Linked DNA regions of Elephas maximus indicus. Each later gene encodes a partner of the first gene's protein in a complex. Links are inferred from orthologs where the notes say so. Each region holds a gene or a part of one and is shown in the gene's direction. Other genes may lie near its edges. The genes, in order: HBS1L and PELO.

Evidence for each region.
Region 2: HBS1L (region 1) and PELO share a complex: the UniProt entries of both Homo sapiens proteins name them as parts of the pelota-HBS1L complex. The link is inferred for Elephas maximus indicus from reciprocal best matches to the Homo sapiens genes HBS1L and PELO.

Annotation. Positions count from the first base shown.
Region 1 is NC_064819.1:204,554,170-204,565,095, reverse strand, and holds the start of HBS1L (HBS1-like protein), read left to right. Parts: upstream 1-6,629; 5' UTR 6,630-6,763; coding exon 6,764-6,806; intron 6,807-10,506; coding exon 10,507-10,572; intron 10,573-10,926. UniProt on the Homo sapiens protein: GTPase component of the Pelota-HBS1L complex, a complex that recognizes stalled ribosomes and triggers the No-Go Decay (NGD) pathway.
Region 2 is NC_064820.1:55,688,124-55,698,610, forward strand, and holds the start of PELO (protein pelota homolog), read left to right. Parts: upstream 1-5,193; 5' UTR 5,194-6,724; coding exon 6,725-7,450; intron 7,451-7,786; coding exon 7,787-8,218; 3' UTR 8,219-10,487. UniProt on the Homo sapiens protein: Component of the Pelota-HBS1L complex, a complex that recognizes stalled ribosomes and triggers the No-Go Decay (NGD) pathway.

The DNA of each region.
Region 1 (10,926 bases):
ACCTTTAGTATTCTCACCAAGCAACAGTGTTGTTAGGTGCCATCCAGTCACTTCCTACTCATAGGGACCCAAAGTACAACAGAATGAAATGCCACCTAGTCCTGCTTCATCTTCACGATCATTGCTACATTGGAGCCCATTGTTGCTGCCACTGTGTCAATCCCTCTCACTGAATCTTCCTCTTTTTCGCTGATCTTCTACTTTACCAAGCATGGTGTCCTTCTCCAGGGATTGGTCCCTCCTGATAACATGTCCAAAGGAAGTGAGATAAAGTCTCTTTATCCTTGCTTTTTAAGGAGGCTTCTGGCTGTACTTCATCCAAGACAGATTTGTTCGTTCTTCTGGCAGTCCACAGTATATTCAATATTCTTCTCCAACACCATAATTCAAAGACATCAATTCTTCTTCGATCTTCCTTATTCATTGTCCAGCTTTCACATACGTATCGGGGATTGAAAATACCATGGCTTGGGTCAGGTGTATCTTAGTCCTCAGTGTGACATCTTTGCTTTTTAACAATTCAAGGAGGTTTTCTGCAACAGATTTTTTTAATTTTGTTGTTGGATTTCTTTTTTTTTTTTTTTTAATTGTACTGTAGGTGAAGGTTTACGGAGCAAACTAGTTTTTCATTACACAATTAATACATATTATTTTGTGACATTGGTTGCCAACCCCACAGCATGGCAACACTCTCCCCTTCTCGACCTTGGATTCCCCATTACCAGCTTTCCTGTCTCTTCCTGCCTTATCATCCTTGCCTCTGAGCTGGTGTGCCCATTTAGTCCAGTTTTGTTTTATGGGCCTGTCTAATCTTCAGCTGAAGGGTGAACCTCAGGAGTGACTTCATTACTGAGCTATAAGGTGTCTGGAGACTATACTCCCGAGATTTCTCCAGTTCCTGTCTTTTTTTTCTTTATGAGTTAGAATTTTGTTCTACATTTCTCTCCAGCTCTGCTCAGGACCCTCTATTGTGATCCCTGTCAGAGCAGTCTGTGGCAGTAGTCAAGCACCATTTAGTTGTGCTGGACTCAGTCTGGTGGAGGCTGTGGTACTTGTGGTCTATTAGTTCTTTGGACTAATCTTTCCCTTGTGTCTTTGGTTTTCTCCATTCTCCCTTGCTCCAGATGGGGTGAGACAAGTGGAGTATCTTAGATGGCCACTCACAAACTTTTAAGACCCCAGATGCTACTCACCGAAATAGAATGTAGAACATCTTCTTTATAAACTATGTTTTGCTAGTTGAGCTAGATGTTCCCTGAGATCATGGTCCTCACAGTTCTCAGCCCAGTAATTCAGTCCCTCAGGGAGTTTGGTTGTGTCTATGGTGCTTCCATGACCTTGGCTTGGACAAGTTGTGCTGGCTTCCCCAGTATTGTCTACTGTCTTACCCTTCACCAAAGTTATCCCTTATCTATTGTCTATTTAGTGTTTTTCCATCCCTACCTCTCCGCTCCCTCGTAACCATCAAAGATGGTTTCTTTTTGGGCTAAAATATTTTCATGAATTTTTATAGTAGTGGTCTCATTCAATATTTGTCCTTTTGTGTTTGACTTATTTCAATCAGCGTAATGCCCTACAGATTCATCCATGTTGTGAGATGCTTCTTTATCATTGGATATTATTCCGTTGTGCGTATGCAGTATAGTTTGTTTATCCATTCATCTGTTGATGGGCACCTAGGTTGTTTTCATCTTTTTGCTTTTGTGAACAATACTGCAATGATCATGGATGTGCATATGTCTATTCATGTGATGGCTCATATTTCTTTAGGATATATTCCTAGGAGTGGGATTGCTGAATCGTATTGGTATTTCTATTTCCATGTTTTTAAGAAAGTGCCATATTGTTTTCCAAAATGATTGTTATTATTTTGCATTCCCACCAGCAGTGCATAAGAGTTCCAATCTCCCTGCAGCCTCTTGAACATTTGTTATTTTCTGTTTTTTGATTTATGCCAGTAATGTCTGATGAGATGGTATCTCATTGTGTTTTTGATTTGCATTTCTCTAATGGCTAGTGATCACAAGCATTTCTTCATTTATCTGTTTAGCTGGAACATCTTCTTTGGTGAAGTGTTCTTTCATATCCTTTGTTGATTTTTTTTAGTTGGATTATTTGTCTTCTTGTTGTAGAGCTGTTGGATTTTCCTGTAGATTTTAGAGATTAGAACTTGGTTGGATTTGTCATAGCCAAATTTTTGTTCCCAGTCTGTAGATTCTCTTTTTACTTTCAGTGAAGTCTTTTGATGAACATAAGTGTTTAATTTTTAGAGGACCCCAATTATCTAGCTTATCTTCTAGTGTTTGTGTGTTAGTTATGATTCGTATTCTGTTAATGCTGTATATTAGGGCTTCTAGCTTTGACCCTATTTTTTCTTCTATGATCTTTATAGTTTTTGATTTTATATTTAGGTCTTTGATCCAGTTTGAATTAGTTTTTGTGTATGGTGTGAGGTACAGGTCCTGTATCATTTTGTTGCAGATAGACATTCAGTTTTGCCAGCAACATTTGTTAAAATGACTGTCTTTTCCCCATTTGACAGACTTTGGGCCTTTGTCCATCAGGTAACCATAGGTGGTTGGATTTACATTTGGGTTCTCAACTCTGTTCCGTTGGTCAATGTGCCTGTTGTTGTACCAGAACCAGGCTGTACTGACTACGGTAGTTGTATAGTAGTTTCTGAGGCTAGGCAGTATGAGTCCTCCTACTTTATTCTTCTTCATCAATAGTGCTTTTACTTATTCAGGGCCTCTTCCCTTTCCATATAAAATTAATGATTAGTTTTTCCATCTCTTTAAAGAATGCCGTTGGTATTTGGGTCAGGATTACAGTGTATTTGTTGATTGGTTTGAGTGATATTGACATTTTCACAGTGTTAAGTGTACCTAACTTAACTAACTAACTAGACGACACTGGGTTTTTTTTTTTTTTTTTAAGTGTACCTATCCATGAGCATGGTATGTTTTTCCATTTATGTAGGTCGCTGTTTGATTTCTTGACCGCTGCTTCCATGGGCGTTAATTGTGGAACCAAGTAAAATGAAATCCTTGATGACTTCAGTGTTTTCTCCGTTTATCATAATACTGCTTATTGGTTCAATTTTGAGAATTTTTGTTTTCTTTACACTGAGGTATAATCCATGCTGAATGCTGTAGTCTTTGATCTTCATCAGTAATGCTTCAAGTCCTCTTCACTTTCAGCAAGCAAGGTTGTGTCATCTGCATATTGCAGATTGTTACTAAGTCTTCCTCCAACCCAGATACTGCATTCTTCTTCATGTAGTCCAGCTTCTCAGATTATTTGCCCAGCATACAGATTGAATAAGTATAATGAAAGCTACAACCCTGATGCACGGCTTTCATGATTTTAAACCATGCAGTATCCCTTGTTTTGTTCGAATGACTGCCTCTTGGTCTATGTATGGAATCTTCATGAGCACATTTAAGTGTTTTAGAATTCCCACTCTTTACAGTGTCATCCATAATTTGTTATAATCCAGACACATACAACAAAACGCAAGTAAACATCTTTCTTATATTCTGTTTTCAGCCAAGATTCATCTGACATCATCAATGATAGGTATCCCTCATTCCATGTCCTCTTCTGAATCCACTTTAGTGTTTGTCAGTTAAACCCCAATAAAAAGGATTACCAAACCCACTGCCAACGAGTCAATTCCAACTCATAGCAGTCTATAGGACAGAATACGATTGCTCCATAAGATTTCCAAGGCTGTGAATCTCTACAGAACCAGACTGCCACATCTTTCTTCTTTGGAGCAGCTGGTGGGTTTAAACTACCATTTTGGTTAGCACCGGAGTGCTTTAATCTCTGGACCAACAGGGCTCCTTAAATCCCAATAATACTGTTGAAAATTTTTCAGTAATTAATTATGCTTTTTTCACTTATCATTTTTTGTTACAAATCTCTGTATATATGCATTATTTGTGCAGTTGTTTATGGCATTTGCTGAATATCCCATAGCAAGAGACCCATCACTTTATTTCTTTTCTTTTATTCATTAAATCATTCAGGAAGCATTCAAAGTGCCAGACACTAGGGTGCTGGAGAAACAGAGATAAAGTTTCCAATTGGTGGGTTATGAACTAGCATTTATTGAGAACCTGTTGTGTAACATCTGCTGCTTTTACATGCATCACTTCATTTAATTTTCTCAAAAGAGAAGACATCTGTTTTTACATCTAGAACTTGAACTGAAAGAAGTTAACAGGCAGAAAGTGGCAGAGCTGGGACTGAAATCCAGGTTTGTGTGACTTCAAAGTCATGGCACTTTCCATCAGTCTACAATACAAAACTATTACAATGGTACCTAAAAGAGTTCTGAGGTCAGTGAATAAAACCCCTAGCACTTTGTGAGGATGTCATTGAAGGCCCTATTGCTTGAAAAGCAGCTGAAGCTCTCAATTATTTAGACTTTTAAAGGAGTACATTATTGAAGATCCAAGAGGCAAATTAGACAGCTATCCCTCAGGCACAAGTAATGTTTCCTTATTCGGGGCTCTAGTACTATATGTTGAGGCGTAATCCATACTGAAGGCTGTGGTCTTTGATCTTCATGAGTAAGTCCTTCAAGTATTCTCCACTTTCAGCAAGCAAGGTTGTGTCTTCTGCATAACACAGGTTGCTAATAAGTCTACCTTCGATCCTGATGCCCCTTCATATAGTCCAGCTTCTGGGATTATTTGCTCAGCATACAAGTTGAATAAGTATGGTGAAAGGATACAACCCTATCTATGAGGTATATACTATCATTATCTCCATTTTAAGAAGAAACAGGCTGCAATATAAAAATTATTTAAAAATTTAATATAAGGAAAACACTTAAGCCCTATAAAACTAACAACTATCTCCATTTTTGTATCAGATTTTGTCCTGGAGCTACATTAAACAGCAACACTGTTTAAAAAGCATTCAGTGATCAGAAACATTCAGGTGCATGTACAAATTACATTCCAAGTCACTTATGAACACATATTAAATTTGTGTTATCTTATTATTTCTGTTGCGGATAATAAAAAGTTGAATCAACTTTTAAATCTTTTTTTTCTTAGTAGTTTATTCAGTATGATTATTAGATTGGATTTTAGATATATGAATAGCATCATTTGCTTTATGTTCAGGTTATATATTTATGCATCGATAACATTCATCATTACCAGGAAGGCCAGTGCTATATCTATAAAGCTATATTTAGTACCCTTAGCATGTTATGCAGGGTTTTGTATGTTCAATGAATCCTTACTGAAGCCTTTACGAAGCTGATGAAAATCTTTTACATAGCTAGGGGCAGAGAGTTGTTTACTAGTTATTAATGCAGGATTGCTCATACATGAAGCCATAAATCACACAAAAATGTGGTGACCTATCATAACCAGGCTCTCAGTTTAACCGTATATACCCAATCAGAACGCTCCTTAGTAGCCAAGATGTGGAAACTACATCTCACATACTTTGGACATGTTATCTGGAGGGACCATTCCCTGGAGAAGGACATCTTGCTTGGTAAAGTAGAGGGCCAGTGAAAAAGAGGAAGACCCTCAACAAGATGGATTGACACAGTGACTGCAACAATGGGCTCAAGCAAATGAACGATTGTGAGGATGGTGAAGGACTGGGCAGTGTTTTGTTCTGTTGTACATGGGGTCGCTAAGAGTCAGAACCGTCTGCACAGAACCTAACAACAAGGACAACAATCCATTTCACTTAAGGGCTAAAGTACACTTGGCCCAAGCCATGGTGTTTTCAATTGCCTCATCTGCATGTGAAAGCTGGACAAAGAGTAAAGGAGGCTGAAGGAGAACTGACGTTTTTGAATTACGGTGTTGGCGAGGAATATTGAATATGCCATGGACTGCGAAAAGAATCAACAAATCTGTCTTGGAAGAAGTACAGCGATAAAGCTCCTTAGAGGCAAGGATGGAGAGACTATGTTGCGTGTACTTTGGAGATGTTATCAGGAGGGACCAGTCCCTGGAGGACATCATGCTTGGTAAAGTAGACGGTCAGTGAAAAAGAGGAAGACCCTCAAGGAGATGGATTGACACAGTGGCTGCAACAATGGGCTCAAGCATAACAAGGATTGTGAGCGTGGCGCAAGACCTGGCAGTGTTTTGTTTTTGTACATAGGGCTGCTATGAGTCCGAATGATTTGACGGTACCTAAAAACAACTCGGTTAAAAACAGCCCTTTTCCTTCTTTAAAGCTTGTACTAATTCTTATACCAAAGTTACACAAGTTTGTTGAATGCCTTTTATCTGCCTAAGTAGGACTCCAAAGTTGCACAAAACAAGGTCGCTGCTCCTGGTGAGCGCACAGTCAGCTTTTTCACTAGATTATCAGAAACCAAATTTGGAAAATAATCTGGAAGCTAGCACAATTCTGGGAATGACGCTCTCAATACTCGGTCAGACTACAAAAGTTCTATCAGTGAAATTCCGCGCCTTAGCAACCCCTGTCAGCCAACTTGTCTGTGGTCGTGATCACCCCAAAACTCCACCTCTATCTCTTGGGAGGAGGGGCGCCTGACTAAAGCCCGTGAGTGCGCATGCGTCTCCAGGGAGGTGGGCAATGACCCTGAGACGTTGCCGTCAGATAAGACGCTGCGCGTGCGCAAGCGCTCGCCGCAGAGGCCTGCCGGAAGCCAAGATGGCGCATAGGTGGCCTGCAGGCCCCTGTTGGCGCTTTATCAATAACTGAGCGGGGTGTTTAGAAAGGGGTTGTTGTCAACGCCTCTTCTGTCGCCATGGCCCGGCATCGGAATGTCCGAGGCTATAACTACGATGAAGGTAGGTAGCAAAGCCGTGCCGGGACGCCTTTTTTCTGTTCCAGCCGGGATCGCAGCCTGTCACCGTCTGTTTCGATCTGTGAGTTCCTCGTCAGTGGTGCCAGTCTGGAAGTCGGGGGAAGCCCAGCGGAGGGAGGCACACAACAGGACGTCAGAGTACCAGCATATGGTGTAGTTACAAGTCCTCGTTTCTGCCTTCTGTGATTGATTTTATTTAGGCCGGGGGAGGTGCAGGACGGCGTCATAGGGGAAGGACTTTTCGTGAGGTTGGGATTCGGTGATATTTATGCACTCAAGCATTGTCACCTCTCCCTCCCATTGTTCCTTTCCTCTCAGTTCGGGCACGCACGTGGCTCTATTTCCCCTCTTCCGACTCTTTCAAAAATGTCCATGAAAGGGACAAACACCGACTGACTTAATGTTTACTTTCAGCTGGCCTGGTGTAATTGTATTGGATTTACATAGTAAATCTTTTGTGTATGTTCATACATATTTGGTGCAGAACCTGGCTTGAGCTATCTGATTAATTTATATTAAGTATAAATTTTTTTTTTTTTTAATGAAGTTAGGTTAGAAAGTTCGGAGACCGTGGAAAAGATACATACTAAAAAGGCCCAAATAGCAAGTCGATCAGATGCTCTTGAGGTGTATACTCAGGTCTTAGCCGGTAATGCTCAATGTTAATTGTATTTTGAAATGAAAAAAGAAAACAAACAGTACTAGAAGAAAGAGGATATGGAAACGGACTTTTTGATTAAAAAAATGGAAAACAACAGCAACAAAAACCTGTATATGTGTGTACTCTAGGAGTTTAAAGGGAGTTGAAAATAGTTTTACAACATAACGTCTCTTTCTATACCATGAATAATTATAGGCATTACCAAGCCTCTTACAAACTAAAAATATTAACAGATATGAACGAATGTGGAAGATTAGTTAAAGAACTATTGCTTCATAAAGTACAGAACATTAAGTACTTAACAATGTTAATGGCTATTATTGGCACCCCAGTAGATTAATCGGGGAACATCACAATCTTCTAACCGTGCTGGAGGGCAGCTAACACGCTGCTGAATTTGGAGACTGTAATGCATATTAGGTTCCTGGTGTTCACCCCAGAATGGAGGAGTTTTTAAGGTTGAATCCAAGTATTGCTGTGGGCCACAGTTATCTGAGAAGTAGCTTTAGACTGCGAGATGTTTTTGCAATTATATAGAAGACGTGAATAGGCCTAATTGTACCCATTCATTTCTTGAATAGATATTTCCTCAGTCAACATTAATCGAGTGTCCAGGCACTGTTTTCTAAGCTTTGGAGACTGACAGTAAGGTATTTGAGGGTAGTTTTATGGGGGAGATTACAAGTAACAGATGAATAGAGTGTTAGAGTTGCTGCATAAAATTACAAAGTGATATGGGGCTATGTAAATAAAAAAAAAAAAAATGAGGACACCTAATTCAGAATGGTTTGGGGCTTAAGCAGGATTTCTGTGTTAAGAAGGGCTTCCTGGAGGAGGTGGTGCTTCACCTGAGGGAGTGAGTGATAAGTCTCTTCTCACCTTGGCCACCTGAGGTCAAGTTGTCATGTTTTCTTTGAAACAAATGGTGACATCATAACCAAGCTGTTTCTATAGTGTAGGAAGTTTACTCCCCTTTCTTGCGTATAAAAGTTGTACTCATCTTCAGGGTCCAATTCATTTATCTTCTTCCCAGTTAAGCTTTCTCTTGGACTCAGAATAATAATTAAAATTTTTTCAAATGTAATATAATTTCATTAAAGAAAGTTTAAGGAAATAGAAATAAAATTACTCATTTAAGCTACCCGGACATTATCATCATTCAGAATTAATCCTTTGTGCTCCAAAACCTGTTGTTTCCCTATTTAACTCTCACTTTGTTTTTTTTTGGATAGTACTTTACATGACTGCTTCAGCTGTTCATCTAAAAGCCCCAGGAAGGCAAAATCCATGCTTTTATATTTATTTCAGTAGCTGGCTCAGTGCTTTACATGTAAATACTAAAATACTAAAGTTTGTTGAAGAAATTAGCCATTTTATAAAGATCCTAGGAAACCATTCTTTCAATCTTTTTATACGGATCAATTTTTGTATCAACAAACTGACCTAGTAAAAAAAAGATCCTTGTGTTTAATACCCAATTTTTTTGTGAATGGCCCATTATTTATTTGCTAATAAATTGTTATTTTCTAACTCAGGATTATGATGTAATAGTTTATTAAATGTTACATGTTTTTATCTGATAGTAGCACTTATCTAATTTTTCTTTGCCATAGCATTTGGTGTCAGCCTTTGAACATGGTGTTTCTGCTGCTCAGAATATACCCTCAGACACTAACAAGCTCTGTCCTTTTAGAATTGGTTTAGATATTATATTCCTGGAAATCCTTCCCTAGCCATGCACTTTAAATACTAGTTTGGTTGTATATGCTCCCAAATTGCTCTGTATTTCTCATGTCAAGCACTGTTCATATGGTTTTGTAATTGTCTGTGTTCCCCATTAAAGTTCAGGTTTGGAGAGGACTGGAAATGTGCCCATTGCTCACTGTTGAACCCTAAGTGTCTCTAATAGTCCCTGACATCTTGCTAGTGCTTGTCGAATGAATGAGTAAATATATTTTTGCCGGTATATTTATGTTCTTCGTGAAGTTTTTACTTCGATTCTTTAAAATCTATAAAAATAAAACATATTTTAATTTTAATAAATAAATACATGCCAAACATGTGTCGAGTATGGTTGGCTAGACAGGCTTGCCCTGAAGGAGCTTATATATTCATGGAGCAAAATAGGTGTAGTGCTTTGAAGACAATAAAATGGAAGAGTATGCTAGACAGTAGAGGGATAGGGGAGAGGTGCTTGCTGTTTCACCTAGGGTAGTCAGGGAGAACTTGTGCAAAGAGGTGACAGGAGAAGGAACGGCCAGAAGGAAGGAAGAGCCCTCAGTCAACAGGAAACAAGGCAGTTGGTCTAGAGCAGAGTGAGCACAAGGCTATATGGGGTGAGCTGGTTTGTATAGTGGTGATTGTTAGCTGCCATTGAGTCAGCCCCCCGGCTCGTGGCAACCCCATGCTCAAGGAGCTTAGACTATTGATTCATAGTTTTTTTGGCTGATTTTTGGAAGTGGATCACCATGCCTTTGTTCCTAATCTGTCGTAGTCTGGAAGCTCCACTGAAACCTGTTGAGCATCACAGACCTAGCTTTATATGAAGAAAAACTGCTTTCATGGTCAGAGTGCATACCCAGTGCTAGTTTGTTGTATGGAAAAAAGTACTTTTGGTTATAGATAGCACTTGGTGAAAAAGATGGATGGATGGCTTGTTAGAGGTTTTTGCCAGCACTGGAAAGACTGTTCAAGTATGTGGTCTGTAGGATTATTATTTATTACTATTATTTACTTCATGTTTCCCAATGGAGTAAAAACTTAAAAAAACTTAGTAAAACCTAATTAGTTTAAAAAGTGAATAACCATGTATGTCTTTATAAATACAGATTGTCAGGAAATGCCTATTATGTAGGGAAAGTTCTTCGAATTTTTGGAAAAATTTTGGAAAAATTTGGATTATTCCAGGTCCCTTTAATTTTGATGAGTAATTTATTTTGAAGAGAATTTAGAGGCCTTCTCATTAGTAACGAAAAATGTAAAAGAACTTATAAATGAATTTATCTCTTGTTTCTACTTTTAGATTTTGAAGATGATGATCTCTATGGCCAGTCTGTAGAAGATGATTATTGTATTTCTCCATCAACAGGTGAATTATTTTTAATAAATCGATTTCCATGATTTGGGCATTTAAAAATGTCAAGTAAATATTATTGTCATTCTGGAGTGTTTCATAAAAACACTAGAGTGCTCCATGAGACTGTAATAGTATGTTACATTAAAAAGATAATTATATTTTAATTTCTAAAGATGTATAAAATAAATTATTTACCCATAAAGAAAATTTAAAGTTTTAAGTTGTTTAACCTTAAATAACTTGAAGAAAACTCTGAAGAGTCTGGTTTTCCCGGTATTCTTTGCAACATGGTTTTAAATATGCAGTTAATTTAAAATATATTGATGTGCTAACTTAGTCATTAATGAGATTCTAAAACTTTTGGGG
Region 2 (10,487 bases), on another chromosome or scaffold:
GGACTAATCTTTCCCTTGTGTCTTTGGTTTTCTTCATTCTCGTTTGCTCCAGATAGGGTGGGACCAGTGTAATGTCTTAGATGGCTGCTCACAAGCTTTTAAGACCCAAGACACTATTCACAAAAGTAGGCTAAAGAACATTTTCTTTATAAACTATGTTATGCCAATTATGCTAGATGTCCCCCAAGACCATGATCCCCAGCCCTCAGCCCAGTAACTCGGTCCCTCAGGGAGTTTGGATGCATTTATGAAGCTTCTATGACTTTGCGTTGGTCAAGTTATGCTGACTTCCCCAGTATTGTGTACTGTCTTACCCTTCATCAAAATTTCCTCTTATCTTAAAGCCTAGTATTAACTAGACTTTCAGTTGGCCAAATACTAATGTATGAAAACACATGGATATTGATCAACCCTTAAAAATATTTGTGTAATGCATTTTCTTGTAATGTATCTGGCAAAATGATGCTGTACTGTATAGGGATATGTACACAGAAATATACGCACACACACACACACATACACACACACCCGTTGACAGGATTTTATTTGATGGCAGGCTTTGTATTGCTTTGTGACAACTGCAAGTATTTTTAGTCACCGGAAATTTAGATAGTAAGTTAAGTACAAAAAGTTCCTTATTTAAAAAAAATTTCCTTTTTACCCTTTGCCTGAGTTAGCTGAATATTCATCCCAGTTGTCCACTTAGCTTTGTTTATGGAGGTCACGTGGCAGTCTTTCTACAATCTGAAGCTAGTACATTCTTTCTAAATAAATGGCTGCATGTATCACCAGATATTCATGATCAGAGTTCTGGCTACTTATTCTGTAAAGATCACTGTCCGATTTATGTATAATAAAACTTTTTTTAATTTAAAACATTTAAAAACCTCTTCCTCAGTAAGATATGTTTAAAATAATCACTTTCTTACCCAAGCATGGATGTCTTAAAATTTAAAACAGATTTATAAAAACTTACCTTAAGAGTAATCTCTTTTTAAATTTTAAGTAACATTTTGAAGCAGACCACCATGATTTCCTATTTTAGGATGTGAGTGATAAACAAGTTAAAAACTGAATTAAAAGAAAATGAACTACTACTCATTCTTTCACATAACAAACATAATTATGCACAAGTGGTTGGTTCCAGGAATACAAAGGCAAATAAGAGGGGGTCTCTGCTCTTAAGAGGCTCACAATCTGGAAGAGGCAACAGACATGCAAAGAACTAATGATCAGAAGTGCTGCCAAGACATTGTAGAGGGATGAAATGATTAGATTTGTCTTATAACAAAATAGAAGATGGAAACAAGAACATTTATATAGCCCCTACTATCCTAGGGTGGCACAGTGGTTAAGAGTTTGGCTGCTAACCAAAAGGTCATGAGTTCGAATCCACCAGGCACTCCTTGGAAACCCTATGGGGCAATTCTACTCTGTCCTATAGGGTCGCTGTGAGTCAGAATCTACCCAATGGCAATGGGATTTTTTACTTAAGGGTCACTGTGCTAAGGAGCCTGGTGACACAGTGGCTAAAGTGCTAGGCTGCTAACCAAAAAGTCAGTAGTTCAAATCCACCAGCCACTCCTTGGAATGCCTATGGGGCAGTTCTACTCTGTCCTTTAGGGTCACTATGAGTCTGAATGGACTTGACAGCAAAGTTTTGTGTGTGTGTGTGTGTGTGTGTGTGTGTGTGTGTGCGCTAAGGACTGAGTCCCTGGGAGGTGCAAATGAATAATGCGCTTGGCTTCTAACCAAAATGTTGGAGGTTCAAGTCCACCCAGAGGCACCTCAGAAGAAAGGTCTGACAGTCTATTTCCAAAACAAAAAAAAAATCAGGCACTGAAAAGCTTATGGAGCACAATTCTACTCGGACACACATGGCGTTGCCATGAGTCAGAACTGACCTGACAGCAACTGGTGCTGGTGGTAAGGGCCGAGGATTCAAACAAGATTCTCATCCTTCAGGAGCCCACAATCCTGCTGCTGTCATGCAAACCATGTCTTACATATTATTACTATATGAAGGAGGAGAATTCTGATCCATTTTACCAATGAGACACATGAACTGCTTCGTATAGTAGGGCTGACTAAAGTTTTCTTGGAAAGTAGGTACTAGTATAAACACATGCACCCAACAGGTTATCCATCAGTTAACTCTCGACCGAATCAGTTACTGAATCAGCGAGCCCTTTGCCCATTGCTTTGTCAGATGCAGATTTCTGGACTGCTCCAAGCCAGGCATTCTTATACATTTATCATAGTACCTTATATTTTTATAGGACTCTACTGTTTACAAGGTATCGATCTCATTTGAATCACATAAGGCTTGTCAAATGAAAGGCAGGGCAACTAACCTTATTTGTGATTTAGAATGAAGGAGGTTAGGTTTATAGCCGTCAGGGAGTTTATGTAAAGTTGCTACAATCTAGCTAGAAAAGACCGTAACTTTGCTGGTTCTTGCTGCCCAGTCATTAAACTTGGAATCAGTCTTTTCCACTAAATAAGGCCTTTTATTGATAGGTTGTTATTAGGTGTCCTTGAGTTGATTTTTGCCTCAGTGACCCCATGTAACAGAGTAGAACTGCCCCATAGGGTTTTTATAGGCTGTGATCTTTACAGGAACAGATCACCAGGTCTTTCTCCTGCGGAGATGCTGAGTAGGTTCAAATTGCCAATGTTTCATTTAGCAGCCGAGCACTTAACTGTTGTGTCACCAGGCCTTAGAAAGAGTCAAATGCAAAAGATAATGTGCAAAAATGGTTTTTTTTTAAATTAGCATTGTTGTAATTTTTACAATTAAAACAATTTTAATTATTAAATTCAATCCCCTTAATTCTTAAGTAAAAGAAACGGAGTTTCAAAGACAGTGCGTGTTGCCAAAAGCTACAGTAAAAACAACTGAGAGGGTAAGATCTACAATCTAGGACACTTGACTTCTAGCCCAGTTCTCTTTTTGAGACACTGGAAGGGTATCAAAAACAACAAAAGAAAAATTTTGGAGATAATGACACTTTTTTTTTTTTCCATGGAGAGATTGATTTAAATACAATATTATAGGGAAAAAATAGGTGTAATTAAATTACTGATACAAAGTTTTCTATCTTCAAAGAGTCAATAAGTATAAAATAGAATTTAAAGCAACAGAGTTAAACCGTGGTCTTTTCCTTATGATTTTGCTTATTTTGATAAAGAATAAAAATATATCTTTAACCAGAGCAGTTTTTAAGTAAGAGGAATTGCTTTTTAAACTAAACGATCAAGGCAACTCCAACTAATGGCAACCCTACGTATGTCAGAGCAAAACTGTGCTCCCTGGGGTTTTCAGTGGCTGACTTTTCAGAAGGAGGTTGCCAGGCCTTTCTTCCAGTGCCCCTCTGGATGGACTCAAACCACCAACCTTGCAGTTAACTGCTGAGTATTAACAGTTTGGGCCACCGAGGGACCCCACTTTCTGAACTATCATTCTTAAATTAACTATAATCAATGACGACATCAATGCCTTAAGAAGTGTCTGTGATGACAATGTCGCTGGTGCTCTTTACATCTGATGACTTAGCTTATTATTCATATGTGTCCCTACTATGTGCAAAGGACACTGCATTGGTCACTGGGGGGATACCAGGATATATCTGTGCAGAGGTCAATAAGAAATAAAATATATGTGTTTGAATTAATACAATGCAGAGTTCCAAGTCAAAGATAACATTTAAGCTGGCCCTTAAAGACAGGTAGGATGAATGGAAGCAGGGATGAGAGGAAGTGACACTTTAGAGAGAACACGTGAGCTAAGGTAGCAAAGGAGAAAGTTCCTAGGACATCTGGGGACTAAAGGCTACTCCCATGGTAGAATACAGGGTGCCTTGAGGGGACAAGTAGAGTCCCTAGGTGGTGCACAGAGGTAACACACTTGGCTGCTAACCAAACGTTTGCAGTTTGGGTCCACTCAGAAGTGCCTCAGAAGAAAGGCCTGGCGAACTACTACTGAAAAATTAGCCACTGAAACACTATAAAGGACAGTGCTACTCTGACACACATGGGATCACCAAGAGTTGGACTCAGCTTGACAGCAGCTGGTGTTCTGAAGGGGACGAGTAGGAAACAAAGCTTGTAAGGAGGAATCATTGAAGCTTTGAATGTCAGGGAGTCTGGACTTCCATTAATAGGGAAGGGGGACCAAAAATAAAATAAAAGTATAATGATTGGTCTAGAATTACTAAGTCATAACACAAAAGCTCAGAGAGAACATCTGATCATTCAACAAGCTCAAGTAACTGGGGGAAAAAAAAGTTGTAAACCATTGTAGATGTTTCAGACCAAGGAGTATTTTTATGAAAAATTGTGTAGTATGTTCAATCGCTGATGTACATAAAAAAGAGAGCCCAGAACAGTTTACTTTATAATTAAAAAAATAAAAGGAATTAAGGGTCAGTGTTGGGTTTTCACAGGTTTTAAATGTAGAAATATATGTATATTTTTCTAAAGTAGAATATTAACACTTTTCTCAAGGATTATAATGGTGACCTAGACTGAACAGAAGGAAAACTAACTGGAAAACAATATTACAAAGATTTTAAGAGGTAAAGAAGGAGCAGAGAAGTGATCATTCCTTTTTAAATCATCTAGGTCACTTCCCAAGCTACAAGTCTTTGATTACAGTGGATAACGGCATTCATAATATAGTATTGTGGTAGTATAAAGGGGAGAGGGTATGGAGTTACAATTAAGTAGGTCTGAATTTGAGTGCAGGTTACGTGATCTTAATTTTCCTATAATTCATTCCTTCCATTTATAAATTTAGGATAACAAATATTTCCCTTTGGGTGAGGATTAGAAACAGCATAGGAAAGTAACTGGAAAGTACTCAATAAATGATAGCTCTTTAGTAAAAATCTAGTATTCATTAAGATCCTACTGTGCACCTAGAAGGAGTTCTTGGTGGTGCAAGCAGATAAGTGCTGGACTACTAACCAAAACTTTGGCAGTTAAGACCCACCCAGAGGCACCTTGGAAGAAAGGCCTGGCAATCTGCTTCTCAAAGGCCACAGCCTTGAAAACCCTATAGAGCACAGTTCTAATCTGCACACATTAACTGGACAGCAATGGATTTCTTTTATGTTGCGTTGTGTTCCTAGCACCATGATTCTGTGGTTTTAATTCTCGGCAGACTATGGGGCGGGGTGGGGGGGGTGAACTGTACTTAGAAAGGTGATCCAGGAACACCGCAACCTCTGCTCCCCAGCTCCAAAAACTTCCCCTCCTCTACACACACACATAAACACACACAGCTCCCCTGTGTATGTGTGCAGGCGCGCACGCACGCTCTCTCTTACACACACACACACACACACACACACACACACACAATTATTCTACCAGTTCAGATGCAATGTGCTTTGGAGAGGCAAGTCACATTCACATTCAAATGCGATCAGTTCCGTGCTTAGTAAAAAGCTGAGAGGGAAGAAAGGCCACAAAGGAAATAGCAGTTCTAATTTAAACTATAGCCCTGGAGGGGACCTACGTGTCCCCTGACAATCTCTGATGTAGATATTTGAGACTTGAGTTTCAATAATCAAGACTTTGATTTTTAAAATCAATTCTGTAGCTATTACACTGGGGTAGTTCACAGTTAATAGATCAGTTTCCCCCCACTTCCCACTATCCCCAGCTCATTTTAGGTTGGTCAGTAAAGCTCGGGCCCTAAGCTATTACAGGGAAGATGTTTCTCTGCCCCACCACCCTAAACCAACCCCCACCATAGACATTTCACAGGCTACTGAGCTGCGGAAAGCTGTGACTGCCAAGTTTGGATTCTGGGATTCCCAGGACATCAGGTCAAGAAACTGAGAAGTCCACCCAGGGGTAAATTCCACAGATGGTTTCTTCTCTCTCTGGGATCAGTGCTTAGACATCCGGTTTAATCAGATCGTGCACGGACACGATAACTACGCTCCGAAAACAGCCAGGTTCGTTGCCCAGGGACCTTGACCACTCGTTCTTAGAAACCGATTATGCAAATACCAGCTCCAACAGGCGTGTAGCGTCTGAGTACGAATAAGGCAGGAGAAAAACCGAGCTTAGTTTGGACCTTTGGGGTAATTCTGCACTTTTTGAGAGTTTTCACTTTTAGATACATTTTAAAATCAGATAGAGTGGCAACTGCACCCACGTGGAAAACAAACATGTTTACACTCACATTCTCCTCAGATTCTTCACAAACGAGGAAGGAAGAGGCAACGTGGAAAACGCACGTCTAGCGTTATAATAAGACTCGCCACCAAAGATTCGGTACTTTCCCTGGGGTTAACTTGCCAGGACACCTCCACGTTTACTGCGCTTGCGCACGCGCAAACTGCGGCCACGCCTCCCCGTGGGAGACGTAAAACCTGCGCCGGGAGCGGAGCGGTGGGGGGGGAGGCGGGAGGCAGGGTGCGCATGCGTTCTCGTTGCATCAGCCGCTTGGTCTGTGCCGGCGGCTGGAGCCGCGAAAGAGTCCGTGTCCCTACAGCTTCTTTCGCGTTCGATTGACGCGGCGCGCTCCGAGACTGGAAAATGAAGGGCTACTAGAGTAAGTGCTCCCCTCGGCCGCAGGAGTTGGAGTTAGAATACTTCCTTCCCGCCGGACAACTGCTCGGCGAAACCGGGCCCCGCCCCCTCCCTCCTTCCCTGCCCCTTTCCTGGTGGAGTCCCACTCTTGTTCGGGCCGTGAGCCCCTTCTAAGATCATGAAGCTCGTGAGGAAGGACATTGAGAAGGACAACGCGGGCCAGGTGACCCTGGTCCCCGAGGAGCCCGAGGACATGTGGCACACCTACAATCTAGTGCAGGTGGGCGACAGCCTGCGCGCCTCCACCATCCGAAAGGTGCAGACCGAGTCCTCCACGGGCAGCGTGGGAAGCAACCGAGTCCGCACGACCCTCACTCTCTGCGTGGAGGCCATCGACTTCGACTCTCAAGCCTGCCAGCTTCGGGTCAAAGGGACCAACATCCAAGAGAATGAGTATGTCAAGATGGGGGCTTACCACACCATTGAGCTTGAGCCCAACCGCCAGTTCACCCTAGCCAAGAAGCAGTGGGACAGTGTGGTGCTAGAGCGCATTGAGCAGGCCTGCGACCCGGCTTGGAGCGCTGATGTGGCAGCTGTGGTCATGCAGGAAGGCCTCGCCCATATCTGCTTAGTCACTCCCAGCATGACCTTAACTCGGGCCAAGGTGGAGGTGAACATCCCTAGGAAGCGGAAAGGCAACTGCTCTCAGCATGACCGGGCCTTGGAGCGGTTCTATGAACAGGTGGTCCAGGCCATCCAGCGCCACATACACTTCGATATTGTAAAGTGCATCCTGGTGGCCAGCCCAGGCTTTGTGAGGGAGCAGTTCTGCGACTACATGTTTCAGCAAGCAGTGAAGACTGACAACAAAGTGCTGCTGGAAAACCGGTCCAAATTCCTGCAGGTAAAGCAGTCTTACCTAGGGATCATTAAGAAGGGGCAGTGGGACTGGTATAAACTCCTGCTGAAGTTTTGTCAGTGGAAAAAGTAAAGGAGGAAAAGGCTTTACTTTGCTAGGGTTGCAGTTGTAAATGATTTAATGAAATGGGGTAAATAGAATACGATTTGTTTTTTTCTTAAAGAGAACTCTTAATACCAGCAAATGTATAGAGTAACTTCTACTGAAATTCTTAAACATATATAAAGTCTTATTAGTGCTTTCGGTCTTAGGTCATTGTGGCTGATGATGGATGGATGCCCTAAGAGACTTCTTGTCTAACTTTTGTAATTGTGATTCTAGGTACATGCCTCCTCTGGACACAAATACTCCCTGAAAGAGGCCCTTTGTGACCCTACTGTAGCTAGCCGCCTTTCAGACACTAAAGCTGCTGGGGAAGTAAAAGCCTTGGATGACTTCTATAAAATGTTACAGCATGAACCTGACCGAGCTTTTTATGGACTTAAGCAGGTGGAGAAGGCCAACGAGGCCATGGCAATTGACACGTTGCTCATCAGCGATGAGCTCTTCAGACACCAGGACATAGCCACACGGAGCCGGTACGTGAGGCTGGTGGACAGTGTGAAAGAAAATGCAGGCACGGTTAGGATCTTCTCCAGTCTTCATGTATCTGGGGAACAGCTCAGTCAGTTGACTGGAGTGGCTGCCATTCTCCGCTTCCCTGTCCCTGAACTCTCTGACCAAGAGGATGATTCTAGTTCTGAAGAGGATTAATGATTGGAATATGTAATTGAGACAACCTTATTGCCTCACTGCCTCACTTCTGCTATATGTTTCCTTAGCATCCTTGTGACACTTTTTGACTCATAGAGGGATCTCTGATGTATTTGATCACACTAGGTCACAAGCTTATTTTTTGGTTAGCAGGACATTTATTCAAACTAAAAAAAATAAATTGTGAAAGAAATCTCTGTGTATTACCATCATTATTAATTGGGAAAACATTGTATAGGAATGATCAGTTATTTGCAGTACTTAGAAAAGTTCTGTGTGTCCAATAATAATAATACCTATGTATTGTTTGGGAGATATCATAAAACCCCATGCTGTGTACTTTGAAATAGTTTTCCGTAGGAAAAGTTTTTACCTCATTATCCGCAGTTTACATTATGCTTAGGTTAATTCTTCATGGTGTTCTCGAACTGCATTTGATGCTTCTTCCTGCCCCTACCTCTGTGCATACTCCATTTTTTTTTTAGGATTTAAATTTATTTCTATTTTAAGCTATAGCCAAACCATTAGGAGACTTTTTTTTTTAATCTGAAGTGGTTTTACTAATTATAAGTTATTGAAAACTGAATAATTTGAGTAATTTAAAAGTACAAGCTTAAAGTATTCCTTGGAAATATACTTTAATAATGCTATTTAAAATTAATATTTGAATCAACTCACAGGTAAATATAGCTTTAATTATGTTTGGGAACCACGTTGAGATACATTAAAAATAATTAGAAATGTTGTGTGGTAGGCTGAATAATGCTCAGAGACCTAACCCAGGAGACTTTTCTTGCACACATTTAAAATGGAATTTTCCTTAAAAGACGTATTAAACCAATCATGTTAAAAGTAAACTCCTGTTTTGTTGTTAGAATTAATCATGTTTGCTTTAGAGGGCCACTTAATCAGCTATTCTTAGATCATGGACTTTTGACCTGCCAGAGATTCACAAGATAATCCAGTTGAGGTATCTTCATTTTTAAAATGAGACGTGAGGTGTGACTTGCTGGTCATGTGGCTACTTGGTGGGCAAAGCTGAAAAGAAACAAAAAAACCAAACCCGTTGCCATTGAGTTGACTCTTGACTCAAACTCTGACTCATAGCAACCCTAAAGGACAGAGTAAAACTGCCCTGTAGGGTTTTCAAGGAGCTCCTGGTGGATTTGAACTGCTGACCTTCTGGCTAGCAGCCGTACCTCTTAACTACTACACCAACAGGGTTTCCAGGGCAAAAAGTATCCCCTAATCCAGACCCCACTGAAACACTCTTTTCTGGGGGAGGGACATGGATTTGTATGTGGCATTAGCCTTCGTGCTTCCACATTCTTATTGGACTTCACCACATGCTATCTTGGGGTTAGAGAAAACGTTTTCAGAAAGTTTGAGTAGCAGCCAGCCGTTGATATGTGGCAGTTGACTTGCACTCCAGTTAAACCAAAACAAATGAAAAAACCCAAACCCATTGCTATTGGGATGATTCCAACTCAATGCTGTATGTTAAGAGTAGAACTGCTCCATAGGGTTTTCTTAGCCATACTCTTGCTGGAAAGGATTTGCCTGGCCTTTTTTCCATGGAGCTGCTGCGTGGGTTCGCAGCTGTTCTCAAACTATGTCATCCAGGTGCCCATGTACTGCAGTACTTTGCTGTAATTGGGGAATTTCTGCAAGTACCTGGGAGTTCAAATGCTCCTTTTTTTCTCGTGCATTTCTAAGAGACAAGGAGGGAGCCTGAGGAATGGAATTGCATCTTGACCTTTTACGAACACCCACTTGGCAAAATGATTAGGCAAGGTCTTATAAAGAAAGTGGTGATTCAGTTTGTAACTCTAGGATTAAAGATGACTCCTTAGAGATACTAAGTAAACTTTTGCTTCTCGTTTCGGTATCTGTTGTTTTAAATACCAATTTGGGGAATTGTTTTTAATAAGCTTTTAAACACTTTGATGATCAAATTATTTTTTATACATGTCCCCTTCAGACGGCAGCATATACTATAAACGGGACACTAGCATCCCAAGAAACATGATGGAACTTGTGTTTCCCAGTGATCAGACAGCAGTAGGTACTGTAAGTGGAACACTAGCAGCCCAAGAAACCTAAGAAGTGAAAAATTTAACTGGGCCTGCTCTGCCCTGCAGGCAAGGAAAGGTTTTAAACTAGTCTAAATCTTTATCTGTAGTTCGGAACAGACACTTCCATATTCTTTAAAATCATATATATTTTTAAAATGGAACCCTGGTGGTACAGTGGCTGAGAGCTTGGCTGC